Callithrix jacchus: one gene and its partners. The protein of the gene in region 1 binds, or shares a complex with, the protein of each later gene. Links are inferred from orthologs where the notes say so. Each region holds a gene or a part of one and is shown in the gene's direction. Other genes may lie near its edges. The genes, in order: SNRPD3, BUD13, PRPF6, CWC27, RBMX2, PLRG1 and SART1.

Region 1 (4,367 bases):
TTCCCAGGGTGAGGACTGGGCCCACAGAGAGGCACTGACCGGGCTCGAGCGGTGGCCCCGCTGCCTCCGCCTCCGTCCTCATGACCCGGGCGGCGCGGGGCGCCCATGGCCCCAGCCCAGAGCGGGCTACAGCTTCCGCTTCGGCTGGGGCGGGAGGGCGGCCGGTGCGTCTCCAGTTCCTCCGCCGCCACCGCCGCCGATGCGGTGGGGAGAACTGGAGGCGGCGGCTGGGCCTCCCCAAGGCCCGCCCCGGCCCTTCTAGTTCGCGAATCTAAAGGCCCCGCCCCTTCCATAAGCCCCGCCCCAAACTTTGATTCTAGACGCCCCCAGTCTCTCGATTTAAGCCCGCCCCGGCCATTTGCCGCTTCTGCGTCGGGTGGCCCCGCCCCGTCGCCCAATCCTCGCGTAGACGCGCTGCCCACCAGGACACGGGCCCCGGAAGCCCCACCCCTTTCCTTGAGGCCCGCCCCGAAGCTCGTGCACTTAGTGCAGATGCTTCCTAGAGGTTCGTCTCTTCAGCAAACTCCGCCTCTGCCGTGACCCGCTCCTTTGCAGCCTTAGGTGTAAGCACCGGTCCCGCCCAATGCATTGCCGAAGCGCCAAACAACTCTCTTTTTATTTTTTTATTTTTATTTTATTTTATTTTTTGAGACGGAGTTTCGCTCTTGTTACCCAGGCTGGAGTGCAATGGCGCGATCTCGGCTCACCGCAACCTCCGCCTCCTGGGTTCATGCAATTCTCCTGCCTCAGCCTCCCGAGAACCTGGGATTACAGGCACACACCACCATGCCCAGCTAATTTTTTGTATTTTTAATAGAGACGGGGTTTCACCATGGTGACCAGGATGGTCTCGATCTCTTGACCTCGTGATCCACCCGCCTCGGCCTCCCAAAGTGCTGAGATTATAGGCATGAGCCACCGCGCCCGGCCACAACTCTCTTTCAACTGCCTTTAGGGATGATCCTGAGCCGGCCGCCGCCCTACTCTATACCTAATTTTATCCGTACGAGATACCTCGCCCCGCTCAGGGCGCCCCTTACCTAGCGGTGCCGGGATCAAAAAATTAAATTGTGAGGGGGAAGTCCTGGCCCTTGGCCCAACCTCCTGCTGCCCCGGGTCTGACGGCCCAGGCCCCGGGTCTGACGGCCCAGGCCCCGGGTTTCCGCCTTGCAGTCCAGCCTGTCCTTGGTGTGGGGTGCTTGGAAGTGCGAGCACCCTCTGCGGCTCGTTGCCGGCCCAAGGGTCGTTGTTTCCGGCGGCCCTCGGGCCCAGTTATCAGCCGTCTCTTCTGGTGCCGGAACTATCGTAGCGGTGCCCTAGTTTCCCAGCCGGCGGGCGCAGCGAAGAGGAAGCGGAGACGAGACCGCACTTACCAATGGGGAAAGGAAGGAGGTGGGCCCTGCGCGCTGCATTTTGGGAACGATTGGAATTCTGGGAGCTGGGCCCGCCATTCGCTGAACTCACGCCTTAGCCGTAGACTCATTTGCCGCCGCACCGAAGAGGAGAAGGAGGCCGGAGCTGGTGAGGCTGGGGACGGGCAAGGGGGGGTCGAGGGGCCACTCGCTGCATGGAACTCTGCGGGGCTCGGGGAGGGAAGAAAGCGGGAAGCTTGGGCCACCCAGACATCAGCGAGCATCGCCTCACTAGCGCCTAGAAGTAAGTTCATTAGCTTCAGCGTGCATGCTTTCACTTTTTGTATCTCTCCAGGTCAGTGTTTTTCAGAGCTTCCAGGCAGTAATCTTGAAGTCATTTCTGGTTGACTGTCTCCTTTCCCCAAATCCTGTGAGTGCTTTTTTCTGTTTATTTTTTCTTTTTGTTTTGGAGTAGTGATGGGTTTCACCATGTCGCCCTTACTAGTCTTGAACTCCTGGGCTCAAGGGATCTACCGGCCTCGGCCTTCCAAAGTGGTGGGATTATAGGTGTGAGCCACCGCGCCCGGCCGATCATTCTTTTAAAAGTTACTTGCATCTCTGCCTCCAGCCCCCTTTCAGGTAGTGGTCCCCTCATGGTTTCCACACTGTTGCAGAAGTTTTAACAAGTTTCTCTGCTTCTAAACCTTACATTCTATCCATTTTATAAATAAATGCTGCCACTTTTTTTTTTTATTCAAAAAAAATTTTTTTTCTTTTAAAGACGGGTTTTCACCATATTGGTCAGGCTGGTCTTGAACTCCTGACCTCAGGTGATCCGCCCGCCTCAGCCTCCCAAAGTGCTAGGATTACAGGTGTGAGCCACTGCGCCCGGCAGTGCTGCTGCTTTTTTCATTACGTCATTCTTTACTTAAAATCGTGCAGTGGTTCCCCACTATTTTCAGTATAAAATGTAGACTCCTAAAGCTGAAAGCAAGGGATCCTCACCAAAGGAACCTGTTTCTTCAACCTCACGTTCTCCTCTGTTAAGTGCACTTACGTTCCAACTTTGAGTCGTTGCTTATCTCAATAAAAAGTTCACTGCTTGATTCTTTTTTTTTTTTAAAGACGGGCTTTCACCATGTTGGTCAGGCTGGTCTTGAACTCCCGACCTCAGGTGATCCGCTCGCCTTGGCCTCCAAAGTGCTGGGATTACAGGCTTGAGCTACCACGCCTGGCTGCTTGATTCTTTTAATTAGGTCAAATCAGGTGATTTCCCTGATTTTCCTCCATGACAAGCATTTCCTGAATAGAGCATATTGTCACTTTGATATTTCCTCATCTTTGATGGTAAAGTAAGTGAGGGGTTAAAGGGCTGAATTAAAAGTGCAGCCCCCTCTCCTAGGTGTTCATGGGTCCTTTGGTCTGTATCTGCACCTTCCATAGGGGAGCCACTAGCTACATATGGCCATTGAGCACTTGGAATATGGCCACTGGGATTGAGACTGGGTTTTTTATTTTAATTTTATTTTGTTTTAAGTAAGTTTAATTTAAATAGCTACATGTGGACATGAGCTGTATTGGACAGCTCAGGCCTATATAATTTTCAAAATGTAATCATGTACAATTACGGTTGACAATAACAATGCAACAAATAACATTCTAACCCCCACTCCGCAACACGAACAGTATTCGCTAATGGTCATTTAGATGAAGATTAAGGGACATAGGGTAGTAGGGACATGTGGTTGATGGGAGAGGCTCTCTTTTCATTTCTATTTTTATCTCTGTCCAGCCCACCATTCCTTCTCACCCCACATCTTGCACATATTTGCCAGATAGTTTCCTCCAAGCCAGGAGCTGAGTTGTTTTTGTTTTGTTTTATTTTATTTTGTTTTTGTTTTTGTAGAAAATGTAGCTTTGGGCCGGGCGCAATGCTCACGCCTGTAATCCCAACACTTGGGAGACCAAGATGGGTGGATCACGAGATCAGGAGATTGAGACCATCCTGGCTAACACGGTGAAACCCCATACTAAAAAAGTAGCCTGACTTGGTGGGGCAGGAGAATCTCTTGAACCCTTGAGGCAGAGGTTGTGGTAAGCCTAGATTGTGCCACTGCACTCCAGCCTTGGCAACAGAGAGAGACTCTGGCTCAAAAAAAAAAAAAAATTCAGTTTTGGCATTTTTGCTAAGTTTTATGGAGGGCTAGGCCTTGAAGGAAGCACAGTATGTGCTGCATGCCTTCTCAGTCTCTGAATGATGAACTGACTGTTGCCTCTCTCATTAGAACTCTTCCTGCCAAGATGTCTATTGGTGTGCCGATTAAAGTACTGCATGAGGCCGAGGGACACATTGTGACATGCGAAACGAACACCGGCGAGGTATATCGTGGGAAGCTCATTGAGGCAGAGGACAACATGAACTGCCAGGTATCCTGCTTTGCACATGAGGCTATGTGGGAGGAATGGACCTGTGTCTCAGAGGAACGGAAAGGTGTGGGTTGGGGGTCTTTGAAAAAAAATTGTTCTCATTCAGCAATGATTTTCTTTTGTTTGTTTGTTTTTTATTATTTTTATTTTTCTTATTATTTTGTTGTTGTTATTTTTCAGCAATGATTTTCTGAGTGCCTAATGCATGCCAGGCACTGTTGTTACAGGCTCTGGGAATGTGGGCATGAACAAGGCACAGTCTTGAGGCAGGAAAGCCATTGGAGGTTTGGAATATTTTACTTTGTCCTTTTTGTTTTTTCCATCCCCAGAGTTGGGGGCCTATTTGAGGGAAGTGCTACTTCAGTAGAATTCTTCAGATTCAGAGCCATTATCCATTTGCCTTCACTTGCCTTGTGGTTAGCAGAATCTTCTCCCATACTGTATTTGTTTCCCTTTTCTCTTGGAGGGAGAATCTCATTTGATTATTGCAACTACCTTGTGAGGTAAGCAGGTTTGGTGATAGTCTTGACATCCATAAAATAGGGAGAGTGAGATTAAAGGACTCATCACTGATAATAAATAATGGAG
Region 2 (3,787 bases), on another chromosome or scaffold:
CAGTGACAATCAGATGTTTATGGAGCAAACGTAACTGAAGACTCCTACTTATTTCTTCATGACCGTTTTGGATATGTGTGTGCCCTTATGTTAGGAATCGGAATAGTTGTAACTTCAGATTCTTGAGACAATGCTTCTTGGTTGGATCCTGTGAATTTCCTCAGTATAGTAAATCTTTACTCCTGCAGGTGGCAGAGTTTGTGGATGAGCGACCAGAAGAGGTGAAGCAGATGGAGGCCTTTCGTTCCAGTGCCAAATGGAAGCTTCTGGGAGGTGAGTTCCAACAAAAGGCACATCTAAATTTCCATTAGTAGGGGAGGTCTTTTTTCTTTTCCTATACTTTTCTTTTAGAAGAATGCATAATTTGTTTTAGCTTGTCATTGATGCTGAAAAATATAGCAGGAAAAAGGAATTTGGACTTCTTCAGAGGTAGTAAGACATGGGAACTTAGAGACCAAATATTCCTTTCTCTTATATTTTGGCATCAGGGTTACTGAGGTCAGTGACTAATTTGGAGGCCTTTGAGTACCCATTCCTCTTTGACCCAGAATAGGAGAGCACTTGATATAGGCAAGACTTGGGGGGAGTTTACAAGAAACAGGAACAGAATTTGGAGACATTAGCCACCTCTATCCTCTTCCACAATGAAGCAGCTCATTTCTGGGAGGGTCAAGGACCAATGTTTTTTGTTCTGTTTATTTGTGTTAGTAAATTTCTCTCTTCTTTCCTTAAATATTGGCATTTTACAGTGCATTACCCTCCACTTGCCCATTCTAGACTCTTCTTAAGCTAATATTTATAATTTAACCGTCTTAAAAAAAAATGTGAGTCCTTGAGAATTGGATAAAAAGCATTTGTTTATCACATCTGTTTGAGCATAGTCTAGTCTTATTTGCCGTGATGTTCCTCTGTCTAGCACAAGGAGCTACCTAGTAAATAGTTGTAGAATTGTTGAATTGCTAGTAGGGATTTGATTTTTGTAGCCTAATCGGAATTCTTTTCCAAAGAAAATCTTTTGGTTTCTATATCTGTTTGTCTAGGAAGACACACAGACACACACAGTGCTTCTTCTTCTGTATCTGAATGTTTAGAAAGACATACAAACTTGCACACACACAGTGCTTTTTCTTCTGTAACTGAATGTGTGGAAAGTCACACATACATACTCTCTCTCTCTCTCTCTCTCTCTCTCTCCCTCCATCCCCCCCCTCCCTTTCCCTCTCCCTCTCCAACCCTCCCTCCCCCTTCCTTTTCTTCTGCCTTACTCTCACTTCCCTATCCCAATTTGTTACTGGAAATATGCTCACCAGTCTCCGACCCTTACTTCCTTTAGATTTGCTGTTAGGCCCCCACAGACATCATACTTCTCTCTGTGGAGTGGATTAGAATCAGATAGGCCTGTTACCCAAGCTAAAGGGGTTGACTTGGTTTAATTAATCTATTTAACAAGTATTCATCAGGTCCTACCTAGCTGTTATTTGTATTTGGGCTATGGAGCTGAATGACAAGAAATAGAGGTAGAGGAAGAACTGGAATTTGAAACTGTTCCAGTTGCTGTAGATATTTCATTCTGCGGTGCCTCTGAAAATGGAAAGTCTCAAACTATGTATTTTCACTTTAAAGATTTACATATTTTAAAGATTGCACAGAGTCTATGGACTCTGGAGTCAAATAGAGTTGGATTTAAATATATCTCCACCACTTATTAGCAGTATGACTTGGGCAAGTTAATCTTTCTGAGTATCAGCTTCCTCATGTGTAAAATGGAAATAACAATATTTACGTCCCAGGCTTGTTAAGAGAATTGAATCAGGTAATCTCTACATTGGCACACAGTAGGTGATTGGTAAATGCTTGTTCCTTTTTCTTTTTTCCCGGTGGTGATTTTTCCCCTCTCTAACAAAGAACACAGTGAAATGGATTAAATAGTTAACAGCATTTTATTTTGATGTTCGTTGGTTTAGTCAATTTACCTTTTGAAAGAAGGGTGAGTATGAACTATAAAGTATCTGGGCTAAATATCAGTAGGAGCCACTGTCTGGTAACTGCACAAATGAGGTTTTAGAAAGAGCACTGGACTGGGAGTTAGGAGACTTGGATTCTAGCCTGTATCTTCATCTTAGTAGCTGTGACCTTAGGTCAGAAATCACTCAGCTCCTCAGCTGAAAACATCATGCTGTAATACAAGGGTACCTGCCCTGCTTGTCTTATAGGGTATAATATAAAAAATGTACTGGAAATACTTTGCACATTTATGACTTAGTAGGCAAATAAGACAGGTTATTCTTAAGATATTCATGAGTGCTGGTTTGCTGCTCCTAAGCAAGGAAACTACAGGACTTTTGGGCTTTCTGAGCAGTTCTGAGGTTATGTGCTGCTGGAGCATCTTTTGAAACTGGGTGTGAAGCGGGGACAGAGGGACAGAGCATTTGTGGGAATCTGACTATTTGTTATTTGTGTTTAGGCCACAATGAAGACCTACCCTCACATGGGCATTTTCGTCATGATACCCCAGATTCATCTCCTAGGAGAGTCCATCATGATACCCCGAATTCGTCTCCTAGGAGGGCCCGTCATGACTCCCCAGATTCTTCTCTCCTCAGAGGAGCTTGTCATGACTCAGACACATCTCCCAGGAGGATCCGTCATGACACCTCAGACACTTCACCCCCAAGGAGGGCCCGTCATGATTCTCCCGATCCTTCTCCCCCCAGGAAGCCCCAGCATAATTCTTCAGGTGCATCTCCTAGGAGAGTCCGTCATGATTCACCAGATCCCTCTCCTCCTAGGCGAGCCCGTCATGATTCACCAGATCCCTCTCCTCCTAGGCGAGCCCGTCATGATTCACCAGATCCCTCTCCTCCTAGGCGAGCCCGTCATGATTCACCAGATCCCTCTCCTCCTAGGCGAGCCCGTCATGATTCACCAGATCCCTCTCCTAGGCGAGCCCATCATGATTTCTCAGATACCTCTCCCCTCAGAAGGGCCCATAACAACTCCCCTAACACATCTCAACCTAGGAGGACTCTTGCCTCTTCAAACATGCAGCAACTCAGAAGGGCTCGTCATGACTCCCCTGATTTGGCTCCTAATGTCACTCATTCCCTGCCCAGAACCAAAAGTAGTAAAGCCCCAGAAAGAGCCTCTAGCAAGACTTCTTCACATTGGAAGGAGTCAGGAGCCTCTCATTCGACACTCCCAAAGAACAGCAAATATGAGTATGACTCTGACCTCTCTCCTCCACGAAAAAAGCAAGCAAAATCTCATTTTGGAGATAAGCAGCAGCTTGATTACAAAGGTGAGCATATGACTGTCCATGAGAGGGATGTGTGTATCCCCTGGGAGCTTTCTTTTGGCCCTTTACTTGCTTTATAAGGTCTAAGAATGGAGTTTCTTTGGGAAAGTTTTGAAAAGTGAGAGGCTGGGGTTGGGAGAGTTAAAAAATTACGGTGGTAGGGAGGAAGGTTTTCATATATCTTTTTATTTACTTGCCCCACCCCATATAAAAGTACAATTTTTTTTGTTGCAGAAGCTTTAGAATGTACAGAAGTGTATAAAGAGAAAAGTGACACAAAATTCTGTCATTCAGAGGCAATTGTTAGTGTTGCAGCCAGGGTCATCTTAATCTTTTCTGGTTTTTGATTTGCATTTTTGATATAGTTGTGCTCTGGCTATGCAGAATATTGTATTGCGTTTGTAATCTTGTCTGCTGTCTTTTCTTAATATAGTCTTCCTCAGGCCATAAAAACATCTTTATGTTAATATGATGTTAATAGTGTTCCATTAC
Region 3 (4,567 bases), on another chromosome or scaffold:
TCCCCGAGACCCCCGCCCGCGAAATCCCCGCGCCCCGGTCCAGCCCTGCTCACCGTCCACATCCCGGCGCTCCCCGAAGTCCGCGCGCACGGCCCCGGCGCGGCCTCGCGGGGGGCTCAGCTTGGACCTCAGCTCGGTGAACATGGGGCCCGCGGGAGCCCGGCCCGCCCACACGCCCCTCGCCGAGTGCAGGGCGGCCGGTGTGGCCGGCGGGGAACGCGCGCCGCCGCCCCGCCCCGCCCCAGCCGGCCCCGCTCCCGAGCCGGTCCCCGCGGTCCGCGAGTCTGCGCGGCGAGGCACCTGCAGCCGAGCCCTGTGTGCCGGGCGCGCTCCGGGAGCTCCGAGGTGTGTCGGCGGCGCGCGGGCCTGCGTGCGCCAAGGCTATCCGCCAGGGCGAGGGGCGTCCGTGCGCCCCGGGCGCGGCTCCGGGGAGGAGAGGCCCCGTGCACCTGCTGGGGTCCTCTGAGGTCCGGCCCCTCCGTGCGTAGGGATGGGCTGACGGGCATCTTGCGGGGCCTTCTACCCACAGCCAGGAGAAGGGGCAGATCAGCCCCTCCCACATACTGCCCTCGGCCTCCTGCCTCTTTACTCTCCCTGGAATGGGCACCCGCTTCCCGGGGAAACCAGCTTGACTCTTGCTTACCGCCCACCCCACTGTGAACATTAGGGTTACTCTTCCTTCCCTCTGCAGCCCCAGAACCTGGCTCAGTGCCCGGGGGGCGGTGCAGTCCTCTGTAACTGAAAGGGGCTTGGCTGGAGATGGGACAGAGAGGAACTCCAAGGAGGCTGTAGCAGGCTGGAGCGATGTGTTTGCTCCAGGACTCCAGTGAGAAATGCTGGGCTGGGCTGTGATTGGCTTGCTCTGCCCAGGAGCCTAGGTGCTCTCCCTGGGTGTATGCAGGGGATCTGGAGGATGTCTTACAGCAGAAGGAGCAGAAATGCGTGCACAGAGTAGAGTCATGCACGTGTACCCAAAACGAGCACACGTGACCTCAATGTGCACACACCCCACTAATTCACACACACAGAATTCACCCACATGCTTGACAGCCATGTTTATGTACTGACGTGTTCCTGACAGGTCCGCTGTGGTGATTTCGTCAGTTAGCTCTCCGGGAGCTGAGAATGCGGCCCTCACCAGAATGTCCAAGGCATATTGGGGGCCGTGGGTGGGGTCTCTAATCCCGCTGGAGGCACAGATGCCTGAATGGGAGCCCAAAAATGTGAATGCTAAAAGCACAATGTTGCGGGGGTGCCCCTACGTAAAAGCATAGGGCAGCAGCGTGCGCACAGGACGCCCACAGGCAGGTGTGCCCACAGACAGGTGTGCCCATAACCAGTACGCACAAGCTCTACACAACTGCACGGGGTGCGCTCCACTCGAAAGTGATCAGGGCCCGCCAAGGGCGAGGGCGGGAAGCTGGGCTGGTTCAGAGGGAGGGGGCCGAGGGCCCTACTGGCAGACAGGTCTCCTTGGGAATGCATCAGAGCACTGGGGAAGCAGCGATGCCCGAGGCTCAGCTTTTGGGGCCGTCCCCGGAGCCCGTTAGGGTCCCAGTGCAAGCTCGGCCTCGTTCCTCCTGCCCCGCCACGAGGAGGCGCTCCAGCTCACGCGCCTGCCATGTCCCCGCCCCCTAGCCGCGGCCGGAAGTCGTCAGGAGCGCGTCGGGGCTTCCGCCCGGGGAGTCAAAAGTGGGCGGGCTTTGTGCGGACCGAGCGCTCTGCTTCCGGGGCGCCAGTGACGCGCCAACCGCGACCTCCTCCTACCGAGCGCCTCGGACGTCGGAGCTCGGAGTGTCTGCGTCTTTCTCTCTTCCGCGGCTTCATTCCTTCCTAGCCTTGGTCATCGTCGCCGCCATGAACAAGAAGAAGAAGCCGTTCCTGGGGATGCCCGCGCCGCTCGGCTACGTGCCGGGGCTGGGCCGGGGGTGAGGCCTGGGGCAAGACGTGGGGCGGCGACCCGGCTGGCGGAGCGCAGTGCAGGTGTTTGGGGGCGGGGGTCTTTGGCTGCGCGGTCTGAAAGACACTCGGGGGATCGGCTTAATCCCTGCAGGAAGCCGCGGGCTTTGGGTCAGGACAGACGTGTGTATGCAGCCTGCCTGCTGCATGGTTGTGACGCCCTGGCTGTCAGCCCCAGTGTAAGATGATGCTGTGTGCAGCCTGCAGTGAGGAGTAGTGGAAACGCGGCCGCCTTCCCAGGTCAGGCTGACACCCCCCTCGCCGCGCCTTAAGCGTGCCTGGGTCGGATAAGTGAGCAGTCATTGCTATCCTATCTGATCATTCATTTGATGAGGAAAACTACTGGGTTTTTCTTGGTGGTGATATACTAGAATCTGTGGGGCACACACAAGACTCGGATATTGACTGCGCCTTCAGAGGACCCGAAGCTCATGGAGGGTTTGGTGTTACCATAAATCAGTACGTAAGGAGGATCAGATTTAGAACCCAGTGCTTAATGGAGGGTGTCGTTGGGGCCAAGTTTAGTAGGAGAGCTGGACTTAGGGCTGCCGAAATATGGTAGCGATAGAAGAGAAACTGCCATTGTGTGTGTGGAGAGTTAGAAAAAAGTGAGGCCGCCGGACACGGTGGCTCACGCCTGTAATCCCAGCACTTTGGGAGGCCGAGGCAGGTGGATCGTGAGATCAAGAGATCGAGACCATCCTGGTCAACATGGTGAAACCCCGTTTCTACTAAAAATACAAAAAATTAGCTGGGCATGGTGGCGCGTGCCTGTAATCCCAGCTACTCAGGAGGCTGAGGCAGGAGAATTGCCTGAACCCAGGAGGCGGAGGTTGCGGTGAGCCGAGATCGCGCCATTGCACTCCAGCCTGGGTAACAAGAGCGAAAACTCTGTCTCAAAAAAAAAAAAAAAAGAAAGGAAAAAAGTGAGGCCAGGAGGAAGCCCGGGGAACAGGGGAGTCCAGTGTGAATAGGATGTGCAGCCAGTAGAACAGAGCTTAGGAGGTTGGAGTGGCCTTGAGCCACAGGCTAGAGCTCCTGGAGACGTCGGAAAGACCGTGACCCTTCAGAAGTTTTCAATCAGAGCTGTGTTTTGGGAAGAATCATCTTGCAGAAGATGGGTTGAAGTAGAGGAAGGCTAGAGGCAGGGAGGGCTAACTTGGTTTCCAGCTGTGGTGGGAGTCATAGTCTGGGGAGGAGAGATTTTGGAGGTGGATTCATTAGTACTTAGTGGCAGACAGGATGGAGAGAGTGGGAAAGGGAGGCAAATATTGTGTCATGGACCCACACCCATGGCATGTGGGTCAGCACGCTGAAACACCCCTGAGCAAGCTGTAAGGTGGGCCCAGAAGAGGAGCTCAGTTTGGGCCAAGTTGGGTTTAAGGGCCTGGCTGGATGTGGAGGGGGAGATGATCAAAGCCTTTGGGTGGAGGGATTGCCTTGGAAACGTCATCAGGGTGAGTTGAAACCTTCGGGTAAGTAGAGATCGGTGGTATTTGAGACTGCAGTTCATTGTCACCAGGATCTTTGGAGATTTCCCAGAGGTGTTAGAAATAGAGGTGATATTAAGTGATGACCAGGGGTGGAGAAGAGCCTGGGAACAGGCGCATTCAGATACTGGGTGTCTTGGGGGTCTCCTGCAGTGCCACCGGCTTCACCACACGGTCAGACATTGGGCCCGCCCGTGATGCAAATGATCCTGTGGATGATCGTCATGCGCCCCCAGGAAAGAGAACCGTTGGGGACCAGATGAAGAAAAACCAGGCTGCTGATGATGATGATGAGGACCTAAATGACACCAATTACGACGAGGTGGGATGTGTTGGGCTTCTGTGGCTCCTCCAGCCAGTCTCTGGGAGCAGCTGACCAGCTCCCTAACCAGTGGAGTGGCTCATGCATTTAAAATTTCAGCTATTCACGGGACATCTTTAGCAGAGTGAGAGGGAGCAGGAAAAATACGGAGGAATGTGCACTTTTTATCTCTTCAGAGAGATGTTCTTGCAGATATGAGGACCACTGCCCTGGTATTTTGTATTGGTCAGTCTTTTATCATAAAAACCGAAAGTATTTGGTTTTTTTAGCGTTAGTGGTTGCCCTCTAAAAAGACATCTAAAGGAAAACCTCAGCTGACTGAATACCGATTAACTGTCTTCTAACAGATCACATTTTTCCTCTGAGGAAAATTTTTAAAAATAATTTTAGTTTTGAAATAATTTTAAATTTGCAGGAACTTGCAACAGTAGTGCCAAAAAAAAGTTGAAAAAAGTTGGCCAGGCATGGTGGCTCACATCTGTAATCCCAGCACTTTGGAAAGCCGAGGTGGGCGGATTACAGGATCAGGAGATCGTGACTATCCTGGCCAACATGGTGAAACCCTGTTTCTACTAAAAATACAAAAATTAGTTGGTCATGATGGCACGTGCCTGTAAGCCCAGCTACTTGGGAGGCTGAGGCAGGAGAATCGCTTGAACAAGGAAGTCAGAGGTTGCAGTGAACAGAGATCACACCATTGCACTCCATCCTAGCCACAGAGTGAGACTCCCTCTCAGAAGAAAAAAAAAAGGTTTCTGTGTATCTTTCACCAAGCTTCTTCCCGTCTTACATGACC
Region 4 (4,499 bases), on another chromosome or scaffold:
CTACATCCTCTGGAGTCCTTCTGCCCATCCTCTATGTGTTTGGTGCCCTTACTATGTGCTTCCTAAGTTCTTGTATTTTCCTTGCCATGGCAGTTGTTCTATTTTCTGTAAATTTCTCTCTCTTCGCTGCTAAATTCTAAGTTCTGTGTGAAGTGTAGCCATGTCTACCTTGCTCACGATTGTATTTTCAATGCCTCCAGTGCCTGGCACACAATAGGCACTTAATAGAGTGTACACTTCCTCTCTCACAGCTCCAGATGTACTCCTCCCCAAACTGCAGTTGGTACAAAAGCCAATGTTCCCATAACAGGTATCTGTAGAATGAGGTTCAAAAAGGCTGCCACAGAACAAAGATTATCTGGTCAAATAATACTGGGAAAGGTAGGTTTAAACAGGGCTCTGAACCATGGTAATTTTCAGAATCCTTTCTATTACTAAAGTGCACTGTGAATTTCCAAGTTGCGGGGGATAGGGTGGAGGAGTGTATATTCCTGAAAATATCTCCTGCAACCAGTGTTCGCAAAGCCGGTTTAAGGAGATGCACTCCCCTACTAGAACTTCCAAGTAAGCTAGTAGTTGAGGACGAGAAAATCTTTTAATTATTCTGCGAGTTCACCATTTTTAGGGCAGTAACTTCTGGACACAGAATTTGAGACTCAGAAGAAATCTTATACATCATTCAACAAAGCTCCATGTTTTTATAAGAAAACTGAGGCCCAGAAGCACAAAGAGACCAATCTGTGGCCACAGAGCAGCTACCTACAACAGGAAAGGCTAGGAGTAGAACCCAGACACCCGGCAGGTCCTAGCGACTTCTAAGACAAACGATGGCTCCGGTTACCTGAGTCGGCCAAGTGTTTCCACTTCAAATTCTATTTTAAAGCCATACCACAGTTAAGGTAGTTTTTCTTGGCCGCCTGCCCCCTTAGGCCTACAATTACAGTCTCTCCCTTCTCCCTCCCTTCCACGATATACTTTCCCTGTAATCCCATGCAGTTGCGGGGGGAGGAAGATAGTTACTTTCTTTCCTTCAGAGTTTTTCTTTGGACTGTAAACTTTTTCACGTAAACAAAACAAACTCATGAATTTTAAGGCCTCCACCTAAATCCCCATGGGCGCTGCTCCCTACATCCTGCACCCTACCCTATCCTCCCTTGCGCTCCCTTCCGAGCTCGGACGCAGTGGCTCCTTACCTGGGACCGCCATGACGGTGGTGACAGGGGTCACTGCAGCCTCCGGCTTTCGAAAAGGCGCTTGCTTCCCGCCAGCTGCGAGGACAAGGCACAGCCAAAGCGGCGTTTGCCTTCCCCAGAGCGGCAGCACCTTCGCTACAGTCGGAAGGCCCTGTAAGCCTCTAGCGACAACAGAACCAGTAGACGCAGATGCGGTTTCCGGACGAGTCATATTGCAGAAGACACATGGTCCGGACCATTACTGTTAGTTTTGGGGGGTGCTGAGTGCGATCTGCACACGCAAGTAGTGAAGTAAACACCGCCAAAACTTACGAAGTGCCTCTTCTAATGTTGTAATACAAATTACATTAAGCCATAGTAGCTTTACAGACTTTTTTTTGTACCCAGGAGTACATTGGAATCACCCTTCTCAGCATTAGCGGTGCTCGGGTCCGATAACAACATGGCGGCGTCCGAGAGGGGTTGTTTTGGGCAAAGGTAGTGTTTGGTGTTCCTGTCTTGCGTGATGTTGACAAACTGAAGCTTTCCTGGACCACTCGACTTAACGAAGAGTGTGCTCGTAGGCGGACAGCTTTCGTGACCCGCCGTCCACTCTCATCCCCCATAAGGAGCAGAGTCCTTAGTACTGATCGCGATGAGCAACATCTACATCCAGGAGCCTCCCACGAATGGGAAGGTGAGAGCTTCATCTAGGGAACTTGGGGCCCTGAGATCCCCAAAATGAGATTTCCCGGATTTGGGGTGGGGAATGGGTTCAGGGATCTTGTGGTAGGAAGAGACCACGAGAAGTGTTGTCTTTACTTCTTCCTGTGGACAATGTTGCATCGAAACACTGAAGCTGGTACTTCTCAGCATGTACTTGAAAAAGTCAAGTGGAGATTTCCCTATCCAGCAGCGTTCCGGTCATATTTTCTGCCTTAACCCAACTCACGCAGCCTATATCTAGGGCCTTAAGTTTTTAAAAGTACATTTTTGAGTTTGATATATTCTTTGCTTAACTTGGAGGTCATTAATTCTCCATTTCTTCTACAGTCATTAATTGAACGCCTGCTAGCCACTGGGCACTGTACTAGGCGCCGGAGATACAAAGAGGCATAGGTAAGGTAGTTTTCCAGGAAGAGCTTACAGTTTAGAGACAGGCAGGTAAACAAAAGCCTTGTATGTCTGATAAGAGTGCTTGTAGAGAAGAGACCATGTTACTATGGTAATACTGAGTAGTGAACAATTGGGAAAGTTAGGAAAAGCATCATGGAGAAGCTATCTTTTGAGCTGGTTTTAAAACCTGAGATGACTGTCATTCAGAGAAAGGGGGAAATGGGGAATATTACCACATTAGAATGGAAAAATGTTTCTCTGATTGATTTAATGGCTAATGTATGCCAATTCCCATCCAAGGTGTTTGTATACAGTACAAGGCAGAAGAGTCAGTTGTAGAATAAGTATCACCTGAATTTTTATTTATTTATATATTTAAAGTATTTATTTTATTGCATTTTAGGTTTTGGGGTACATGTGAAGAACATGCAAGATAGTTGCATAGGTGCACAGCAGTGTGATTTGCTGCCTTCCTCCCCTTCACCTATATCTGGCATTTCTCCCCATGCTATCTCTCCCCAACTCCCCACCCCCCGCTGTCCCTCCCCTATTTTCCCCAATAGACCCCAGTGTGTAGTGCTCCCCTCCCTGTGTCCATGTGTTCTCATTGTCCAACACCCCCCTATGAGTGAGAACATTCGGTATTTCGTTTTCTGTTCTTGTGTAAGCTTGCTGAGAATGATGTTCTCCAGGTTCATCCATGTCCCTGCAAAGGACACGAACTCATCATTTCTGATTGCTGCATAATATTCCATGGTGTATATGTGCCACATTTTCCCTGTCCAGTCTATCATCCATGGGCATTTGGGTTGATTCCAGGTCTTTGCTATTGTAAACAGTGCTGCAGTGACCATTCGTGTGCATGTGTCCTTATAGTAGAACGATTTATATTCCTTTGGATATATACCCAGTAATGGGATTGCTCGGTCAAATGGAATTTCTATTTCTAGGTCCTTGAGGAATCGCCACATTGTCTTCCACAATGGTTGAACTAATTTACACTCCCAACAGCACTGTAAAAGTGTTCCTATTTCTCCACATCCTCTCCAGCATCTGTTGTCTCCAGATTTTTTAATGATCGCCATTCTAACTGGCGTGAGATGGTATCTCAATGTAGTTTTGATTTGCATTTCTCTAATAACCAGTGATGATGAGCATTTTTTCATGTTTGTTGGCCACATGTATGTCTTCTTTTGTAAAGTGTCTGTTCATATCCTTCACTTCCTTTTGAATGGGCTTATTTGTTTTTTTCTTGTAAATCTGTTTTAGTTCTTTGTAAATTCTGGATATCAGCCCTTTATCAGATGGGTAAACTGCAAAAATTTTTTCCCATTCTGTTGGTTGCCTATTCAATCTAATGACTGTTTTTTTTTGCCGTGCAGAAACTATGGAGTTTGATTAGGTCCCATTTTTCTATTTTGGCTTTTGTTGCCAATGCTTTTGGTGTTTTGGTCATGAAGTCCTTGCCTACTCCTATGTCCTGAATTTCGCCTAGATTTTCTTCTAGTGTTTTTATGGTGTTAGGTCTTATGTTTGTCTTTAATCCATCTGGAGTTAATTTTAGTGTAAGGTGTCAGGAAGGGGTCCAGTTTCTGCTTTCTGCACATAGCTAGCTACTTTTCCCAACACCATTTATTAAACAGGGAATCCTTTCCCCATTGCTTCTTTTTGTCAGGTTTATCAAAGATTGTATGGTTGTAGATTTGTTGTGTTGCCTCCGAGGCCTCTGTTTTGTTCCATTGGTCTATATCGCTGTTTTGGTACCAATACCATGCTGTTTTGATTACTGTAGCCTTGTAGTATAGTTTGAAGTCCAGTAGGGTGATGCCTCCCGCTGTGTTCTTTTTACTCAGAATTGACTTGGCTATGCGGACTCTCATTTGGTTCCATATGAAGTTTAAGGTGGTTTTTTCCAGTTCTGTGAATAAGCTCATTGGTAGTTTGATGGGGATAACGTTGAATCTGTAAATTACTTTGGGCATATGGCCATTTTCATGATATTGATTCTTCCTAACCATGAACATGGAATGTTTCTCCATATGTTTGTGTCCTCTCTTATTTCGTTGAGCAGTGGTTTGTAGTTCTCCTTGAAGAGGTCTTTACGTTCCTTGTTAGTTGTATTCCTAGGTATTTTATTCTCTTTGTAGCAACTGTGAATGGCAGTTTGTTCTTGATTTGGCTCTCTTTAAGTCTGTTATTGGTGTATAGGAA
Region 5 (3,787 bases), on another chromosome or scaffold:
TCACCCTTATCATATACTATTTGTTTTCATGTATACTTGAGTCTCTTTCTTAGCTTTTATTCTATTGGTCTATTAATTTTCCAATACCACACTAGTAATTTCAGTCTGTCTGATATCTGATAAGAGTTACTCCCCCTCATTGTTCTCATTAAGAGTTTTCCCAGCTATTTTTACATGTTCTTTTTTCCATAAGAATTTTAGAATTAACTTATTCAGCTTTCAGGAAAGAAACCAAACTGGTATTGTTATTGGAATTATATTAAATTTACATTAACTCGGGAGAAGATTTTGATACCTTATGATAGTGAGTCATCCTGTCCAAGAACAAGGGATACCTTCATATTTGTTCAAATCTATGTTTGTGACTTTTGGGAATTTTAAAATAGTTTTCTTTATATGGGCTTTGTACATTTTTTGTTGATAAGTATATTTCTAAGTACTTTGTCTTTTTTTGCTATGATAAATACGATTTCCCTTTTATCATTTCTTCTGATTATTGTTTCTGTATAACAGAGTGATTGATTTTTAACTTTATATCTTGTTGCTTTACTGAATTGTTACGCTCTGTTTTTAATCATTGTTTATCATGGATTCTCTGGGTTTTCCATGTATACTATCATATGTAATCTACAAAAGGATAATTTTACTTCCTTTTTTTCATTTCTTATATCTGTTTTACCTAATTGCATTGGCCTATACCTTCATTTTAGTATTAAATAGTTTCTAAACTTACTTGAATCAGCTCTAGTATTTCTCATTAAGTAGATTGCTAGATTTTGGGCTGAAGTGTATGTATGTGATTATGTAACATACCTGTCAATTCCCGTTTTATTTTTATGACTTTATTTTTAAATTTATAAACCTCTAACTTATCTGGAATTTATCTTGCTGCAAGGAGTAAGGTAGTCTTTTATTCCTAATGTTTTTTCTTTTTTGAGACAGAGTCCCACTCTCTCGCTCAGGTCACAGTGTAGTGGCATGATCCTAGCTCACTGCAGCCTTGAACTCCTGGGCTCAAGTGATTCTCCCCATTCACCCTCCTGAGTGGCTGGGACTACAAGTGAACACTACCATGCCTGGCTAATTAAAAAACTTATTATTTTGTAGAAACAGGGGTCTTGCTGTATTGTCCAGCTTGTCTCAAACTCCTGGCATCAAGTGATCCTCTGGCCTTGGCCTCCCTAAGTGCTGGTATTACATGTGTGAGCCACTATGCCTGATCTTTTTTTGTTTGCTTGTTTTTTTTGGAAATAGGATCTTGTTCTGTTGCCCAGTCTGTCTTGAACTACTGGCCTCAAACAATACTCCTGCCTCCCAAAGTGCTGGTATTACATATTATAGGTGTGAGCCACCATGCCTGGCCTTTTTTTTTTCTATTTAATTCTGCCTTTTTATCTATTTGGTTTTTTTTTTTTTTTAGAGACAGGGTCTTGTTCTGTTGCTCAGGCTGGTCTCAAATTGCTGGCCTCAAACAATCCTCCCATCTTGGTCTCCCAAAGTTCTGGGATTACAGGCATGAGCCACCATGCCTAGCCAAATTTCTGCCTTTATCTTTATTAGCTCCCATCTGCTTTCATTAGGGTTGCTTTCTTCCTTTATATTCATCCTTTTTGTTCACAATAAAATTATTTTAAAGTTACAAATTTTCCTATGATGTTAGGTACATTTCATAAGTTTTGGTATATATTCTTCTCATTTTTGCTATTTTCTAAATAGTCTGCCATTTTAAAAAAAATATTTTGCTTCATCTTCTCTTTCATCCAGTTATTAAGAGAGTAGCTTTCAAGTTCTAGTTAGGTAAGGTGTTTTTTATTTAAAATATCATTTCCAGCTTTAGGTCTGTCTGTTTTTTGGAGTATAATTATTGAGGTTTACATTGAGACCTAATCCATAGTCTATTTTAGTACAATCTTCATGAATTCTTGAAACTGTCATCTTGTAGGATTCAAAGATATCTATGTATCTAATTACATTAATATTTGTTTGTATAATTGTTATAGTAATTATGTATATTAATTAATCTGATCTTATTTCTGTCCACTTTGTGCATGATAAACTTCAAAGTGATTTGTTAAATTCTTCCATAACTTTTGCTATTAGTTTTTCTTTGCATTTCTGATAGCTTTTTTAATTAAAAATTTTGATTTCTTAATTGACCTAAAGTTTTCCTGACTTATACCTTTGTTTTGTATTTAGGCCTTTTTCAGTGTAAAATAATCTTCTTAGTTTCATTTTTTATTGTGGCCTTGAATTAGCCTTTGCTCTTGATATTAGTGCCTGTTTTTTAATTGGGTACTCCTGTTCTTGTCTGACTTTTTCTTTGTCATGACCTTTCTGTATCATCTCGTTCTAGATGTATCTCTTGTACATACTGTATTATTTGAATTTTGTTTTATTACCTTATCTGCATGTTTTTGCCTTTTAAGTCAATAGTGTCTTACTCTTTTATAAAATAAATAGATATGGGGAGATTGTTAACATTAATCTCGTGCGGGACAAGAAGACTGGGAAGTCCAAAGGATTTTGTTTTCTCTGCTATGAAGACCAGAGGAGCACAATTCTGGCCGTTGACAATTTTAATGGGATCAAGGTGAGTGTACTTACTAAGCAGGTTGGTTGGACATTTTTTCCCCTTGTATAGGGGTTTCGTTTTCTACCTGGTTGCCATGGACACCGGGGCAGCACTCGTCAGCTTGGTGTGTTGCAGGGGCTGCAGAGGTGTGGAGACACTGGTCAAAAAGAGATTCCAGGAAATAATTCTGTTGACTTGTGGCCCTGCAGGACTTGCTTCTTTTTCCCATCTGTTAACAAATTGTCTCCCCAGGAGCATAGGTACCAGGCCTGCCTCCCCTCCAGGCCTCTGTTTTTTACCTTTCTTTTTCTTTTTTTTTTTTTTTTTTGAGACGAAGTTTCTCTCTTGTTACCCAGGCTGGAGTGCAATGGCGCGATCTCGGCTCACCACAACCTCCGCCTCCTGGGTTCAGGCAATTCTCCTGCCTCAGCCTCTGGAGTAGCTGAGATTACAGGCACGCACCACCATGCCCAGCTAATTTTTTGTGTTTTTAGTAGAGACAGGGCTTCACCAATTTGGGCAGGCTGGTCTTGAACTCCTGACCTCAAGTGATCCACCCTCCTCGGCCTCCCAAAGTGCCACTGAACCTGATCAGAGGGGTTAATTTTTTATTGTTGTTCACCTGTAGAGTTGTGATTCATAGCGCAATAATCAGTGTGAGCCTACTGTTCCAGTGTGGTGTGGCTAGAGCAAGGTGTGAGGGCTTAAGAAAAAAGAAAGTTTCCTTTTCTCTATTCCTTCCTCTCGCCAAACTGTTGGTCTGGCTTTGCCTCCTAATGACTGTGTCGGGAAAGCAGTTGTAGCATTAAGCTAGATATCAAGAATTCCTTCTAGTTGCCAGACCTTCCTAGGGCATGTTTCACTGTAAACTTATGTTACAGATCAAGGGTAGTTAATTGTGCATCTAAATCTCACAGTCTTCCCTGATGCTTGTGCTTTGAGGTAGTAGTGTTTCCTAGTCTTTTTCATTTTGTGGACCATGTAGAACAGGAAGATATTTATATGATGCCCTGGGGTAAAGTGATGAGGCTGCTGGTACAATTGCCCAGGCCTCACCTGGCTGCCCTGAGAGCTGAGTGTATTAATATTTAGGTGTACATGCTATGACACACCAGTTGGACAGGTCTGCTTTAGTGACAAAATTTGGCAAGAAGGAAGTGGACATAGTTCAAATCATGGTTTTCTGTAGCTTGTGTTCAGATAGTCTGACACTGT
Region 6 (4,260 bases), on another chromosome or scaffold:
AGGAGGTCAAGATCAGCCTGGCCAATATGGTGAAACCCCGCCTCTACTAAAAATACAAAAATTAGCCAGGCGTGGTGGTGCATAGATGGAATCCCAGCTCTTCGGGAGGCTGAGGCAGGAGAATCCCTTGAACCTGCAAGGCAGAGGTTGCAATGAGTCAATATCGTGCCATTGCACTCCAGCCTGGGCGACAAGAGCGAAATTCTATCTCGAAAACAAAACAAAACAAAACAAAAATCCACCATGACCTTAATGTTTTAAATTTCCAAGTGAGGTCATCGATTTACATTGCTATTCTTTTGCTAGGTCTTTTTTTTTTTTTCCTTTCGAAGTGTATGTAGTATGCTCTGGGGACAGGATCAGTGAAACTGAAACAGGGCCAGTAAGGTGTTTGTCTATTTAAGCTTGCAAATGCCCAAGTCCATCAATTTTTCATTTTACATAGAAAAATAATTGGGTAGGATTGACCACAAACCGCAGATTTTACCAGGGTAGAAAGCAAAAATATCAATACTTGGCACAAGGATATGTAAAAATAAAAATGGCTAAAGTCTCCAATTGTGCCTTTCTTCAACCAGCTTTGAAACGCTGTATCCTGGCATTGTTGAAGCCCAATAATCAGCAGACAACTAGGAAATGGCCAAGAGCTACACAGTTTTGAGAAACTAAAAAAAAAAAACCAACCTATTAGCAGAAAATAAATGTGGGGTTTTACACTGTTAAAATTATTTTGTATATCTACATATGAAAAATCTCCAAATTAAAACAACTATTCCGCAACATTCACTCAACAAGTGTTTACTGGACTGTTTAAGCGAAATTGTTTTCAGGCGTTAAGCCTACAACAGTGTTCAAGTGCTTCTCGCCAGGACTGGAACCAGCAGACAAACCACGTCGGCGACCTCCAAAGAGATCAAGGCAGTGCAAGTGACTTAGAGCCCACGGGAGTTTGCTCTCCAGACGCTGAGGTTCCCTGAATAAAAAGCATTAAGCTACCGGGTAATACAGCACGAACAATCAGGACCCCAAGCAAAACAGCACGAACAACCAGGACCCCAATCAAAACATTTAAGGCTGAGGATAAGGAAGAAAACAAATTGTAAGATTTCCTCAGAGGTGCGAGTGAAACCCTCCGGTCAGGCGCTTCAAGGAGTCTCCGCTCCTCAGCTTCGAGACTCCGCCCTAGAGGCGGTCCCGAGGAGGAAGATCCGCCTCCCGATCCCAGATGGCCGGGGGAAACCAGCGCGCGTGCGCAGAGTTGCGTCACATCCGCCGCCTGGGTGCCCAATTCCGGAAGGTGCCGCACAGTTGTGGCGGCGGGTACTGCGTTAGTGATTAGGGTTTCGTCGCTGCCAGAGGTGGGATATACGGCAGCATCATGGTCGAGGTAAAGTGACACTGGTGCTCTCAAGAACCGTTTGCCTCTGGACTGTTTTTCTTTGGCAGTGGGCGTGGGGGATTGAGAGTGCTTGGAGTCCGGAGAGAAAAGAGGCTACGAGGGGAGCTATTTGGCCAAGGCCGGGTGGTCTCTTTTTCAGGTTTTCGGGGAAGGGGGAGAAACCGGATGAGAACCCGAGTCAGAAGTTCAATCCGGGCGCGAAGCCTGAGATAAATCGTTCAGTCCCCGTTTGACTCTTGGGGGCTGGACACTGTCCTTGGAGGCGGGGCCTCTGTTGGTGTTCGACCACTGGTACTCGCCGCCCTCGGGGCAGTGTCAGTGATTCTGTGCCCTAAAAGACTGGCGGCCTTCTTTATCTTGCGTTCAGGTTCTTCTCTTATTTCATCTCTACCCCCAGAAAATCTTGCCATTCTTTACATCTTTCCCTGCCTTGAACAGCCGCTCTGTTAGCTGGTCTTGTCCATCTTACCCCATATATTTATTGATTCCATCAACTCTTCTCTGTAACCACTGCAGTCCACCTTAATTCAGACCAACCGCATCCTTCACCTGGACTGGTTTCCTTGTTTCCATTTTGTTCTATAAGTTCTGTTTAAAACGTAAGTTGTTCATACCTTTCTTGCTTAAAACCCTTTACTGACCCTATGTTGCTGGAACACAAAATATTAGGTTGTTGTAATGGTCTAAAAGGCCTTACCTAATCTGGACCTTGTGTACCCTTGCAACCACAAAGCACCTTCTCACCCACCATATACAGCTGTACTGTGCTCCTTGTTTTATTTCAGTTAACTGAACACCTTTTTACATAATATTTCTGTCAGCCTGGTTCGTTTTAACTTCTGTTTGTGCAAAGCTAACTCCCTTTCTGCTTAAATATCATCTTAGTGAAATCTTTTACAATTATACTTAGTCCTTCGTACTCTGACTCAGCACCTTGCTTGTTGCCTTCATAGCACTTATCAAAATGTGGAATTATTTTACTTTTTACTGTTTCCTCCTGAGCACAGGGACCATGACCACCTTTTTATCATTTTGTTGTGAGATTCTAGCACAACACCTGCCAGAGCTCAATAAATATTTGTTAAATAAATGACTAAACTCAGGCATCACTCAGTTGCTATACCTGAGTTTCTAGCCAAAGAGGAGCTTCCTCTTTTCTGAACTTGACTCCTGTAGCTTGCAACTAGTAGCTATGATGAGTGTATAAAGCTTTTTACATTTTTAAACATGTAAAGTGTATAACCAATCTGACGTTATGTTATGATTTGTTTAATTTATAGGTAGGTGTGTAATTGCATTCTTTCTTTTTAGGAGGTACAGAAACATTCTGTACACACACTTGTGTTCAGGTCGTTGAAGAGGACCCATGACATGTTTGTAGCTGATAATGGAAAACCTGTGCCTTTAGATGAAGAGAGGTAGGTATAGATTTTGTTTTTGTTTTTTTTTTTTTTCCAGTTGCTGAAATATTTAACATTTTAATATTGGGCAAAGAGAACAGGGAGAGGGAGACCTTTAAAGATAAGTTAGTAATACTCATGGCCTAATTATTCAATAATGAGTGGTATTTTGGCATAATTTAAGCTGATTTAACTTTTTTTTTTGCCTTTTACAGTAAAAGTTCCATTAATTAATTGCATTTTATAAATGCCCAGTAATTAAGCGAGCCCCTTTTAGGTGTTTTATTTTATAATAAATCACTTTGTATGTGCTTTCAGCTTCCTGCTGCTCTCAGAGCCTTGCTGAGCTGAAATTGTACCTGGCCAGTACCTCTACTCCTATCTTTTCTCGTTAGTATGATAAAGATTTTTGAATGGTGGCACATTTTTGGTTCTACATATCCAGCTCTAGTCTGGGATTGCATTATGTGCAGTGTTCCTTCTTTGTTCTTTACCCTTTTAAAATCTACTGAATTCCTCAAACAAGCATTTATATTTAATTTATAAAGTAGACAATTTTAAAAAGTAATATAAGTGCCTTTCTTTCTAAAATACTGAACCAGTTAAGGATTTTGATTAGTTTTGACTAACCTGTTTAGAAACATAGAAAGGCTGCTATAAAGTTCTTACTATATTTATATATTGAAGGAAAGTATATTGATTTTGAGGTTTCTTAAAGGATATGTTAGTTTCTATATATCTTTCAATCAGACCCTTGATAATTTATCATAAAAGGTTTTGTATTTATTTGGTAACGAACTAAAATATTAGGTTTAATGAATGCTGTGTGGTGGAATGTGAGCAAAAGAAAACAGATAATGGTGGGAAAATGAACTTGGAAATTTTTTAATCTTTTAAATATGACTTAAAATCTTACTAGAAACTTTTTCTACATGATTTGGCAAACTTAAGCTATCCAAGTATTTGTTTTAAAGTATTTACGGATATGTTCTTATGTTTATAATTTCTAAATAGTCACAAACGAAAAATGGCAATCAAGCTTCGTAATGAGTATGGTCCTGTGTTGCATATGCCTACTTCAAAAGAAAACCTTAAAGAGAAGGGTCCTCAGAATGCAACAGATTCATATGGTCATAAACAGTACCCTGCCAATCAAGGTGAGTATGGTATTATCAGAAATGTCAGGACTTACATGTGAATTTTAAAAATAGAAAAATAAAATGGGTTATTTATGCCCCTCCTGGCAGAACTTATTGTGATCATACAGTATTTAATGGCTGTATTGGTATTATAATGGAAGTTTTGATCCTCATGGGAATACTGAGACATTGGTTGCTGACTTTTTTTTTAAAGCAGAATAATGATGGCAGAGATTCTTAGAATGTGGAGAAAGTCGCAGTGGAGACTAAGGGAAGAATTTGGAGAATATTCTTAACCTGTGGGGATGCCATGTATCTTGTC
Region 7 (3,787 bases), on another chromosome or scaffold:
GAATGGCCACTGCTCTGTGCTGCCCTCAGGCGTGCTACAGGAGGAGGAAGATGTGCTGGTGAACGTGAACCTGGTGGATAAGGAGCGGGCAGAGAAAAATGTGGAGCTGCGGAAGAAGAAGCCCGACTACCTGCCCTATGTGGAGGATGAGAGTGTGGATGACCTGGCACAGGCACGTGGCGGGCAGGCTGGGTGGGCGGCGGGGGATGGGGCGGTGAATGTCGGGAGTCGGGGCTCTGAGGAGGTGGTGGCTAGGTGGGTTTTCAGGAGCCAGCCTGGGTTCCAACCTGTGCCTCTTGCCCTGCAGCAAAAACCTCACTCTATCCTGGCTAAGTACGACGAAGAGCTTGAGGGTGAGCGGCCGCACTCCTTCCGCCTAGAGCAGGGCGGCACAGCTGATGGACTGCGGGAGCGGGAGCTGGAGGAGATCCGGGCCAAGCTGCGGCTGCAGGCTCAGTCCCTGAGCACGGTGGGGCCCCGGCTGGCCTCCGAGTACCTCACGCCTGAGGAGATGGTGAGCCTTCTCGTGCCTCGTACTCGATATCACAATTCTCCCTCCCTCTCGGCTCATGCACTGCCTGCAGGCACTCAGAAGAGAGGCCGAGTGTTCATGTTTGCAAAGTGCTTGGCCTTGTGGGCGAGCAGTAAATGGCATCTGGGGGAGTACCGGGTGTGGATGGATCAGGGCTGCTGAGCCACATGGGCCTCAGTCTGTATTCGGGCTCTGCCATGCTGCCAGCCCGTGCCCTGGGTGAGCCATTTAACTGTGAGCCTGGGGCACCCCATCTGGAGTGTCAGTGACAAGAGCCGCCTCCTGAGGTTGCTGTGAGGATGAGTGACAGCATGGGTGAGGGGTGACTGGACAGGTGTGTGTGGCTCTTGCCCGTGGAGTGACTGTAACATGAGGTAGACAGCCAGTGCAGTAGGCGTCTTGCTAAGTGTTCCCTCACTTAGGAGTGGGCAACCTTGGCAAGGTACTTAACCTCTCTGTGCCCAGTTTCCCCATCTCATGAGTGGATTGGAGATAGTAACCACCCCACGTGTTACTCATGTGTGGGAAGCGCTCAGGAGACTGGCTAGCACAGAGGAACACCTAAGAGGTTCACCCTTGAGGGCTGTGGTGGGCCGCCTCTCCGCCACCCCGCTCTATGTCTCTCCTCTCTTCCTCTCAGGTGACCTTTAAAAAGACCAAGCGGAGGGTGAAGAAAATCCGAAAGAAGGAGAAGGAGGTAGTAGTGCGGGCGGATGACTTGCTGCCTCTCGGGGACCAGACTCAGGATGGGGACTTTGGTTCCAGGTGGGCTTGGACATGGTGGCAGGAGGAGAGGGCTGGGCTGGGGTGGCCTGGGGGCTGGTGCTCACCAGAGAGGCCTTCTTCCCTCAGACTGCGGGGCCGGGGTCGCCGTCGAGTGTCCGAGGTGGAGGAGGAGAAGGAGTCCATGCCTCAGCCCCCGCCATCAGACGACACCCGAGTGGAGAACATGGACATCAGTGATGAGGGTGAGGGCCCGGCAGGGGGTGGAAGGGGGCAGGGACAGGGTTGGGGAAGATGGTCTGAGCAGGCATCCCGTGTTTCTCCCAGAGGAGAATGGAGCTCCGCCGCCACCGGGGTCCCCACAGGTGCTGGAGGAGGACGAGGCAGAGCTGGAGCTGCAGAAGCAGCTGGAGAAGGGGCGCCGGCTACGACAGCTGCAGCAGCTTCGAGACAGTGGCGAGAAGGTGAGGCTGGGCGCAGGCAGGCCTGGGGCTCCCGGTGCATTGGCCTATCCTCACAAGCACGTGCCCTTTGTCATGGCAAACAGCCACATTCCTGTCTGAAGCCTCTTTTCTGTTTGTTTTTTGGGTGTTTTTTTTTTTTTTTTATTTTGATACGGTTTCACTCTGTCACCCAGTCTGAAGTGCAGTGGTACGATCTCTGCTCACTGCAACCTCCATCTCCTGGGTTCAAGCGATTCTCATGCCTCAGTCTCCTGAGTAGCTGAGATTACAGGCGCCCACCACCGAATCTGGCTAATTTTTGTATTTTTAGTAGAGACTGGGTTTCACTAGGCTGGTCTTGAACTCCTGACTTCAGGTGATCTGTCCACCTCAGCCTCCCAAAGTGCTGAGATTACAGGTGTGAGCCACTGCGCCCAACCCTCTTTTCTGTTTAAAGTCATGTTTTGTGCAGGTTTTGAGACGTCTGCAGTGTTTCCACCGCCAGATACCTGCTTAGTGGGGGATCCTTTCCTTTCCTGTGTGTGTTTGTTGAATGCCTACTGTGAGTAGTGCATTATTCTTGAGCTGGGAGGGTCATTGGTGAACAGGACAGCTGCAGGGCCCTGGGTTCATGGAGCTGGCTTTCAGAGTGTGTGGGGGAGAGGGGTGGCAGCAGGTGGACAGGCTGGCGTTTAAGCCATAGACCAACCAGAAGGTATATCAGAAGAATCAACCTTAAAGTGCCTGAGGACCAGGGAGGCAGAAGCAGAGAGAGGGTGGTGTGAGCTGAGATGGAGAGGCTGGGAGCCAGCGCAGGGGGAGCCTTGAGCCCATGGCCATCACTGCCTCGCCGGCACAGTGTGCCGGGCACTGCTCTCCTGCTCTGTGTTTGTTCCTGTGAGGAAGGTTCTGTCACCTCCATCATTGCCGAGGCCACATTTTTAGCCCTACCCCACACTTTTTACCTAGGAAGAAGCCAAGAAAGGGTATCCAGGAGAGGGAGTAAGGGAGGGAGGCTTCTGATGCGACTGGGAGGTAAAGTGGGGACTGTTCGAGTGGATTCAGGGCTGGGAGGATGAGAGTTGAGAAGGTGAGGGCTGCGCCTGGGACGGAGGGCAGGCTTGGTATTGAAGGGCTGCAGAGGACAGATTTGAGGTTTAAGGGTGTGTGGTCTCTGTCAGGCCCCTTGTGTGCTCTGCTATTGTAGGAAAAACAGCTAAGACAATCTGTGAGTGGGCGTGGCTGGTTTCCAGTGACACTTTATTTCTAGGTAGTGGGACATAGTTTGCCCAGTCTATCTGTAAAAAAGAACGGAGAAGGCCGAGCCAGGTGGCTCACGCCTGTAATCCCACCACTTTGGGGCGCTGAGGCGGGCGGATCACGAGGTCAAGAGATCGAGACCATCCTGGCCAACATGGTGAAACCCCATCTCTACTAAAAATACAAAAATTAGCTGGGCATGGTGGCACACGCCTGTAGTCCCAGCTTCTCGGGAGGATGAGGCAGGAGAATTGCTTGAACCTGGGACGCGGAGGTTGCAGTGGCTGAGTGCCACTGCACTCCAGCCTGGTACCTGACAATGGAGCAAGACTCTGTCTCTCTGTCTCGAAAAGAAAAAAGAACAGAGAAATGGGGCGATAGACTGACAGGGCTGTGTGTTTTATGACTGAAATGAATGTAAGGGTTATTAGCCCTGAAGTTCTTAGCCTGCCTGCACATTAGAAACCTAGGAGGTTGTTTTTGTTGTTGTTTTAAGAAACAAGGTCTTGCTCTGTTGCTCGGGCTGGAGTGCAGCGGTGTGGTCATAGCCCACTACATCCTTGAAATCCCAGGCTCAAGGGATCCTTCTGCCCCAGCCTCCCAAGTAGCTGAGACCACCACCACACCTGGCAAATAAAAAAAAAATTTTAGCAACAGGGTCTCACCTTGTTGCCCAGGCTGGTCTCAAACTCCTGGGCTCAAACAATCCTCTCGCCTCTACCTCCCAAAGTGCTGGGGTTATAGGCATGAGCCACCTGGCCTGGCCTAGCCTAGAAAGCTTTTAAAATATATGAGCCACACCCCACATACCAGCAGAAAAGTGAAAGTG

Evidence for each region.
Region 2: SNRPD3 (region 1) and BUD13 share a complex: the UniProt entries of both Homo sapiens proteins name them as parts of the minor spliceosome. The link is inferred for Callithrix jacchus from reciprocal best matches to the Homo sapiens genes SNRPD3 and BUD13.
Region 3: SNRPD3 (region 1) and PRPF6 share a complex: the UniProt entries of both Homo sapiens proteins name them as parts of the U4/U6-U5 tri-snRNP complex. The link is inferred for Callithrix jacchus from reciprocal best matches to the Homo sapiens genes SNRPD3 and PRPF6.
Region 4: SNRPD3 (region 1) and CWC27 share a complex: the UniProt entries of both Homo sapiens proteins name them as parts of the minor spliceosome. The link is inferred for Callithrix jacchus from reciprocal best matches to the Homo sapiens genes SNRPD3 and CWC27.
Region 5: SNRPD3 (region 1) and RBMX2 share a complex: the UniProt entries of both Homo sapiens proteins name them as parts of the minor spliceosome. The link is inferred for Callithrix jacchus from reciprocal best matches to the Homo sapiens genes SNRPD3 and RBMX2.
Region 6: SNRPD3 (region 1) and PLRG1 share a complex: the UniProt entries of both Homo sapiens proteins name them as parts of the minor spliceosome. The link is inferred for Callithrix jacchus from reciprocal best matches to the Homo sapiens genes SNRPD3 and PLRG1.
Region 7: SNRPD3 (region 1) and SART1 share a complex: the UniProt entries of both Homo sapiens proteins name them as parts of the U4/U6-U5 tri-snRNP complex. The link is inferred for Callithrix jacchus from reciprocal best matches to the Homo sapiens genes SNRPD3 and SART1.

What each region holds. Positions count from the first base shown.
Region 1 is NC_133502.1:195,106,281-195,110,647, forward strand, and holds the start of SNRPD3 (small nuclear ribonucleoprotein Sm D3), read left to right. Parts: upstream 1-1,425; 5' UTR 1,426-1,521; intron 1,522-1,707; exon of another isoform or gene 1,708-1,782; intron 1,783-3,637; 5' UTR 3,638-3,653; coding exon 3,654-3,779; intron 3,780-4,367. Other genes in the region: protein GUCD1, read right to left, coding at 40-293. UniProt on the Homo sapiens protein: Plays a role in pre-mRNA splicing as a core component of the spliceosomal U1, U2, U4 and U5 small nuclear ribonucleoproteins (snRNPs), the building blocks of the spliceosome.
Region 2 is NC_133511.1:16,404,987-16,408,773, reverse strand, and holds part of BUD13 (BUD13 homolog), read left to right. Parts: intron 1-188; coding exon 189-273; intron 274-2,464; coding exon 2,465-3,298; intron 3,299-3,787. UniProt on the Homo sapiens protein: Involved in pre-mRNA splicing as component of the activated spliceosome. As a component of the minor spliceosome, involved in the splicing of U12-type introns in pre-mRNAs.
Region 3 is NC_133506.1:59,453,990-59,458,556, forward strand, and holds the start of PRPF6 (pre-mRNA-processing factor 6), read left to right. Parts: upstream 1-1,748; 5' UTR 1,749-1,857; coding exon 1,858-1,928; exon of another isoform or gene 1,929-1,983; intron 1,984-3,602; coding exon 3,603-3,771; intron 3,772-4,567. Other genes in the region: SAMD10 (sterile alpha motif domain-containing protein 10), read right to left, coding at 54-144. UniProt on the Homo sapiens protein: Involved in pre-mRNA splicing as component of the U4/U6-U5 tri-snRNP complex, one of the building blocks of the spliceosome.
Region 4 is NC_133503.1:144,762,370-144,766,868, reverse strand, and holds the start of CWC27 (spliceosome-associated protein CWC27 homolog), read left to right. Parts: upstream 1-1,620; 5' UTR 1,621-1,827; coding exon 1,828-1,869; intron 1,870-4,499. Other genes in the region: protein SREK1IP1, read right to left, coding at 1,194-1,206. UniProt on the Homo sapiens protein: As part of the spliceosome, plays a role in pre-mRNA splicing. Probable inactive PPIase with no peptidyl-prolyl cis-trans isomerase activity. As a component of the minor spliceosome, involved in the splicing of U12-type introns in pre-mRNAs.
Region 5 is NC_133524.1:126,051,228-126,055,014, forward strand, and holds part of RBMX2 (RNA-binding motif protein, X-linked 2), read left to right. Parts: intron 1-2,460; coding exon 2,461-2,590; intron 2,591-3,787. UniProt on the Homo sapiens protein: Involved in pre-mRNA splicing as component of the activated spliceosome. As a component of the minor spliceosome, involved in the splicing of U12-type introns in pre-mRNAs.
Region 6 is NC_133504.1:42,068,244-42,072,503, forward strand, and holds the start of PLRG1 (pleiotropic regulator 1), read left to right. Parts: upstream 1-1,292; 5' UTR 1,293-1,378; coding exon 1,379-1,387; intron 1,388-2,710; coding exon 2,711-2,817; intron 2,818-3,813; coding exon 3,814-3,956; intron 3,957-4,260. UniProt on the Homo sapiens protein: Involved in pre-mRNA splicing as component of the spliceosome. Component of the PRP19-CDC5L complex that forms an integral part of the spliceosome and is required for activating pre-mRNA splicing.
Region 7 is NC_133511.1:123,045,643-123,049,429, forward strand, and holds part of SART1 (U4/U6.U5 tri-snRNP-associated protein 1), read left to right. Parts: intron 1-29; coding exon 30-172; intron 173-307; coding exon 308-514; intron 515-1,172; coding exon 1,173-1,297; intron 1,298-1,384; coding exon 1,385-1,500; intron 1,501-1,582; coding exon 1,583-1,719; intron 1,720-3,787. UniProt on the Homo sapiens protein: Plays a role in mRNA splicing as a component of the U4/U6-U5 tri-snRNP, one of the building blocks of the spliceosome. May also bind to DNA.